2 linked regions of the Macaca mulatta genome follow. The protein of the gene in region 2 purifies or fractionates together with the protein of the main gene of each other region. This does not show direct contact. Links are inferred from orthologs where the notes say so. Each region holds a gene or a part of one and is shown on either strand. Other genes may lie near its edges.

The links.
Region 1: the proteins of THEMIS (region 2) and PTPN11 purify together in Homo sapiens (co-immunoprecipitation; 3 studies listed by BioGRID and IntAct, counting the BioPlex papers as one, with this or other methods). This does not show direct contact. The link is inferred for Macaca mulatta from reciprocal best matches to the Homo sapiens genes THEMIS and PTPN11.

Annotation. Positions count from the first base shown.
Region 1 is NC_133416.1:119,689,393-119,693,221, reverse strand, and holds part of PTPN11 (tyrosine-protein phosphatase non-receptor type 11), read right to left. Parts: intron 1,015-3,829; coding exon 820-1,014; intron 1-819. UniProt on the Homo sapiens protein: Acts downstream of various receptor and cytoplasmic protein tyrosine kinases to participate in the signal transduction from the cell surface to the nucleus. Positively regulates MAPK signal transduction pathway. Dephosphorylates GAB1, ARHGAP35 and EGFR.
Region 2 is NC_133409.1:32,845,303-32,848,492, forward strand, and holds the end of THEMIS (protein THEMIS), read right to left. Parts: intron 2,396-3,190; coding exon 2,186-2,395; 3' UTR 586-2,185; downstream 1-585.

The sequences.
Region 1 (3,829 bases), on a different chromosome or scaffold from region 2:
CTGAAAACAGTAAAATTTAGAAATAAACTGTACAGAGTTGGCTGACAGTCTTTTGCCTGAAGCTATAGTGGTAGCTAGAGAAACAAATTATCAGCACATAATAGCACTGACATAAAGGTATAAGCTAATAAAATCATACCTGAAGACACAAAATATACAAACTAAGAGATCCTGAATTTGCACCAAGTCAGAGAGGAGACTGGGAGTGTACAAAACAAATACAATCAATAAATAAGTCAAGCCCATGCTTTCATCAGGCTAGTTCCAATACAGGGGGACAGATCTTGAAAATAACACAATTCTCTCTAAGTAAGGTCACTCTCACATAATTGTGGAGATAACATTAAAAGAATTGATGAAAAAGCTGACCCTCTGAGCTCTCTGCTTTTCCACTTCTGAGCTTAAACTGACATCTGTTGGTGGCACTGCTGAATAACTGGTCGAGAGCCACCATAGAAAACTGCTGCTATTTTGGTGTCTCCATTATCATTTGTTTTCTTCTAATAACTCTCAAAGATTATCCGCCAAAGTTCAATAAGTCTTAAAACTAATACATGTAACCAAGTATATGCAGGAATGCTATGCAATCCCCATAGGATGAGTGTAAGTAACACTGATTAAAACTTTTGCAAGAAAAAGGTACTCTGAAAATAATTTGATGCTATTAGTCTCACTTTAATAATTCTTTAAAGATTACAGCTCAAAAAACAGTCACAAGCCTTTGGAGTCAGAAAGTCATACACAGACCTCAGTCATGCATTTCTGACACATAGGGCACAAGGGAGCAGCAGACTTTGTGGTCACTAAAATGTTACTGACCTTTCAGAGGTAGGATCTGCACAGTTCAGAGGATATTTAAGCTCAATAACATCTCCATTCTTCTCTTTTAATTGCCCGTGATGTTCCATGTAATACTGGACCAACTCTGCCAAAGTGGCAAATTTCTCCCCTCCATACAGGTCATAGTAATCACCAGTGTTCTGAATCTTGATGTGGGTGACAGCTCCATTTCTTCTAAAATAGTCCATTGGAAAGGGAGGCAAGGGGACAAATAACGAGTTACACCAGTAAAATCAGATCTCATGTTCCACGTCAGACTTCATCTAAATGTTGAAAGAAACCCAAGAAACGAATTTACCCATTCCCTATAAGAAATATGATGGGTGAAATAACCACATAATCAACCAACTCAACACAAAGGTCTTTTTGTTTACCTTGCATATGTTTGCTCTTGTTGCCCAGGCTGGAGTGCAATGGCGTGATCTTGCCTCACTGCAACCTTCGCCTCCCAGGTTCAAGCAATTCTCCTGCCTCAGCCTCCTGAGAAGCTGGGATTACAGGAATGCGCCACCACGCTCGGCTAATTTTGTATTTTTAGTAGAGATGGGGCTTCTCCATTTTGGTCAGGCTGGTTTCAAATTCCTAACCTCAGGTGATCCACCCACCTCAGGTGATCCTCCCAAAGTGCTGGGATTACAGGCGTGAGCCACCACGCCCGACCTATCTGGTATATCTTCTATTTTGAAAGACTGGCCTATCGAATTGCATATATTAAGTAACAATAACTGAATAGCTACCAAAAACCATTTTGCTTTTTAATCATAAAAATGTATAAACAAATTGTGTTACATTACTATTCATACAATGGAATACTATGCATTGCAAAAATTGCTGTTACTATTCATGCAATGGGATACCATGCAGCAATTTGTTTGTTTTGTTTGTTTGTTTGCTTTTTTGTTTTTGAGACAGAGTCTCACTCTGTCGCCCAGGCTGGAGTACAGTGGCACAATCTCGGCTCACTGCAAGCTCCACGTCCCAGGTTCACGCCCTTCTCCTGCTTCAGCCTCTCAAGTAGCTGGGACTACAGGTGCCCGCCACCATGCCAGGCTAATTTTTTTTGTATTTTTAGTAGAGACAGGGTTTCACCCTGTTCGCCAGGATGGTATCCGTCTCCTGACCTCGTGATCTGCCCACCTCTGCCTCCCGAAGTGCTGGGATTACAGGCATGAGCCACCGTGCCGGGCTACTATGCAGCAATTAAAAAAAAAAAAAAAAAAAGATAGCCAGGCACAGTGGCTCACGTCTGTAATCCCAGCATTTTGGGAGGCTGAGGTGAGAGGATCACCTGAGGTCAGGAGTTCGAGACCAGCCTGGCCAACACGGTGAAACCCCGTCCCTACTAAAAATACAAAAATTAGCCAGGCGTGGTGGCGGGCACCTATAATCCCACCTACTGGGGAGGCTGAGGCAGGAGAATTGCTTTAACCTGGGAGGCAGAGGTTGCGGTGAGCTGAGATCACGCCACTGCACTCCAGCCTGGGCAACAAGAGTGAAACTCTGACTCAAAAAAAATAAAAATAAAAATAAAAAGACACATGTAATTTTAAAGACACATGTAATGACACAGTTTTGAATATGAGGTAGTGTTATCCCAAAGCACAAAACAATATATGCAAAAGGTTACTACATTCATGGAGGCATTATGTATCATTTTAAAATACTGGACACAACTAAATCGCTACCTGCTGGTGACAGTATATAGAAGTTATGAAATATTCACATGATAGAATGCTATCCAGCTGATTAAAAAGATGAGAGAGATCACTAAAAGATTTAGGTAAGTGAAAAAAAATTACAAAGAAATATATTTAATGTTCTACTTGATGTGTAAAAATAAAAGGAAAATAGTAATAAAAATATAAATTTGCTTATTTTTGTAAAAAGAAACATAGGGCTGGGCATGGTGGCTCATGCCTATAATCCCAGCACTTTGGGAGGCCGAGGCAGGCAGATCCCTTGAGGTCAAGAGTTTGAGATTAGCCTGGACAACATGGTGAAACCCCATCCCTACTAAAAATACAAAAATTAGCTGGGCACGGTGGTGTAATCCCAACTACTTAGGTGGCTGCGTCATCAAAATCACTTGAACCCAGGAGGCGGAGGTTGCAGGGAGCTAAGATTGTGCCACTACACTCCAGTCTGGGCAACAGAGCAAGATTGTCTCAAAAAAAAAAAAAAAAAAAAGAAAGAAAAAGAATGAAAGAAACACATAAGAATAAACAAGAAATTAATAGAAATGGCTACCTACAGGATGGAGATAGTGTGGTACAAAGGAGTAGGAGTAAGAATGAGATTTCTCAGGCCAGGCGCGATAGCTCACGCCTGTTACCCCAGCACTTTGGGAGGCCAGGCAGGTGGATCACTTTAAGTCAGGAGGTCAGGACCAGCCTGGCCAACATGGTAAAACCTAGTCTCTACAAAAAAATACAAAAATTAACCGGGCATGGTGGCACATGCCTGTAATCCTAGCTACTCAGGAGGCAGAGGCAGGAGAACTGCTTGAACCCAGGAGGCTGAGGTTGCAGTGACCCAAGATTGTGGCCACTGCACTCCAGCCTAGGCGAAAGAGCGAGACTTTGTCTCAAAAAAAAAAAAAAGTCAGGCATGGTAGCTCATGCCTGTAATTCCAGCACTTTGGGAGGCCAAGACAGGTGGATCACCTGAGGTCAGGAGTTTGAGACCAGCCTGGTCAACACGGTGAAACCCCATCTCTACTAAAAATACAAAAATTAGCTGGGCATGGTGGAACACACCTGTAATCCCAGCTACTCTGGAGGCTGAGGCGGGAGAATGGCTTGAACCCAGGAGGCAGAGGTTGCAGTGAGCTGAGATCATGCCATTGCACTTCAGCCTGGGCAATAAGAGTGAAACTCCTTCTCAAAAAAAAAAAAAAAAAAAAAAAAAAATTAGATCTTTATCAATCAGCATAGAGCTCAAAAAAAAATTTTAAGTTGCAAAATGATACATACATTATAAATCCATGTAT
Region 2 (3,190 bases):
TTTGTATCTTTTCAGCTATACTAAAATAACAAATATTTATTCGTTTTGTATATTGTGTGACTTCATAATTTTATAATCAGTCCTTTTCAATTTTGTGTGTGCCTTCATAAATAACAGTGGATTTATTATACATTTCTTGTGGTCTTTAATGTAAAATTTGATTCTTGTTTGGCTAATTTTGTAGTCAATCGCCTTCTGATTTTACAGAATTCCCTCTTATTTTGTTCTCATCAGATCTAAAATCATCTGTGTAATTGGCTCATGGTAAATATCTCAAAGGAGAGCATTGGAGATATTTTAGCCTCTTACAAAGAGGCTAAAAGCAACTTGTCCTATTAGAAGTGTATCTTAATTAAGTATTGCTTAGAAAGTTTCTAAGACATCATGATTATATTGAAGTTAGATTCTGGACAAAGTACATGAAAAAGTTTAGGGCTATAAAATGTTTGCTGAGAGTTCTTCCTTAAATAATGCATGCACAAATATTTTCTTTGTCTATGAATTTTTAGAGTATCTATGGGCCCTCTGGTCTCTTAAACTTAAAGTTCATTTTCACTTTCCACTCTCTTCTATTTCTAAGACAAATTTTTTTCTTATGTTTTTTTACTTTTCAAAATTTGGAAAAAAATGCTGATTTTTGGAAGCCTATTTTTATGCATTCTTTCATAGCCATCTTGTGCTCATTTTCTGTCCTAATATTTATCGAGCAAAATTTGGTTTGGGAAGCAAACCTAAAATATATTTGTTGATGTAGGTCTGATATCAATGTAAACATCACCAAAGATTAAAAGTAATGGTTAGCTTGCAAGAAACTGGGGAATTGTAGCAAAACTTATTTGCTCAAATATATAGCTTATGTCTTATCAATTTATTTTTAGGCAAGGCTTTTATTCTAAAATAAATTCATAACTGACAAATATAGTAATGGAAAATTCAGATAAATCTGTTTCAAAACTGCATAGCCAACTGGAACTTATCTCCTCCACTTTTCTTCAACTGCTCTTTTGATTTTTTTTTTAAAGAAAAACTGAAGGTAATAAGCTCAAAGAAAGGAACATAAATATCTAGTGAGCCCACACTCAACTTAGTGATTACAGGCACTAAAATTTCTATAGAGATTATAGGAAGTTGGCAATTCAAATGCCCTCACTTAATACATACTATGTAATGAACTGATCATTTTTTCTGTTATTGCTACCATTTCAAAAAGGAATTTCCATGTAGTGGGCATTTAAGTAAGTGAAAACTATTCTAATTTTCTTAAAGGCCAGAAATCTAATGCAAAGTAATTTAGTCCAAATTTTGCTCAAGCCTTTTGCTAATCTATTGAGAAAATAAATAAATTTTATAAATTCAATGTTTTTTCCTGCTAAAAAAGTAATATTCAGTAACACTGAAAATATGACATCACATATTTGGTGGTATTTTTGTTCCTGATACTATAGGTAAGGAGTGGGGGAACAGTATTAACTAATGTTTTTCATCATTGCCCCCCAGGTGAGAACATTTTCAGTTGTTAGAAAGTTCAGAGAGGGCAAAAATGTTAGTTTATTCAAATATTTCCCATTGGAAGTGTACTTCAATTATGCCATAATGAAAATCATGTTCTTTAGCCATAAATTATCCAGAGAAAATCAGTATTTTATTATTAGTCTGATGACTTGTTTATTGTTTCTTGAAATTTCCCTAAAATCAGGTGATATTTGCAAATATTTTAGTTTAACCAATTCTTTTTCATTTAAAACTCAATTATACCAATTCAGCTATCCAGATGGAAGTATCAACACACTACATGTCACGACCAGAACAAAACTAAAATTCAGATCACTCCTCTCCCATTCCAGAAGCACAAAAAAAGCTTATAAATATTCTGCATATGCCATTGGGCACAGATTTGTACCTTCGAGGTTTCAGCTGTAACTCAAGTTTGGTTAACTTTCAACCCAGCACTTTATTCATCCTTTGCCCTCTTCTCCCGTCTTTTTCACTTCCTTAGTTGTCTGTTTATAGCCCATGCCATTTACTAGACAACAGACCTCAGGAAACTCAAAAATCATGATTTATTATCTGTACATGTCTCGCCTTAAGGAAAGCTCAAATAGCTACTAAAAAAAATGCTAAAATTGGCTGGGTGCAGTGGCTCATGCCTGTAAGCCCAGCACTTTGGAAGGCCCAGGTGGGCAGATCACAAGGTCAGGAGTTCAAGACCTGCCTGGCCAAGATGGTGAAACCCCATCTCTACTAAAATTACAAAAATTACCTGGACATGGTGGCAGGTACCTGTAATCCCAGCTACTTCGGAGGCTGAGGCAGAGAATTGTTTACACCTGGGAGGCAGAGGTTGCAGTGAGCCAAGATCGCAGCATTGCACTCCAGCCTGGGCAACAGAGTGAGACTTAAAAAAAAAAAAAAGCTAAAATTGTATCTCACAGTCAAAATTTGTCAATTTTTTAAAGGAAGTTCAAAAGTTTCCTGTATTTTTCCTATTTTCAGATTCAAAAACCCAATATTTAAATATGTCCATATTCCATCTTCATTGTGTTGGGTCTTTGAAAAACGTTATAACAGTAATTTTCCCTGTTCAGAGGGAAATCAGAATTACAGCTTCTATGTTACACGAAAAGGACCTACCATGAGTAGAAAGGTGGGAGTGTTAAGAAGCTCAGTGTCAGCTACAAATTCAAACACTCTTAATGTATTTATACTACATCAGGTTAACAAAAACAAAAACAAGTCACATCGTTTGTGACCAAACCCTGTTGATAACAAACAAGTGGGTATAATACTGCTCTCTAATGATCTAGATTTAGTCCAGTAACGTGGGTTTCTCTAACATATTTCAGCCACTGTAACTGTCACACCACATCAGAAGTGACAATTTAGCACCAGCAGCAGCTGCTGAAGTGTTCTCTCTGCACTCCCCAGGAACCATTGCTTTCCTTCTGCCTTTTTCAGGCCTCACTCTAATTCTAGTGCAGGATATTTTTCTGCTCATTTCACAGTACCTTGCCATTACTGCCTCCCTTGCTCTTTGTCTTAATGTCTCCTATGGGTGTTCTTGTCCGACAGAAATCTAGAAATTCAGGCAGCAAAGCGGACACTTGGGCATTAAATGGCCAAACAGAGTTAGTGAAATACAAGATTTCTGGTCCCAGCTGCAGTCTCTGAAGACTCGGACTCTCTCATCTTT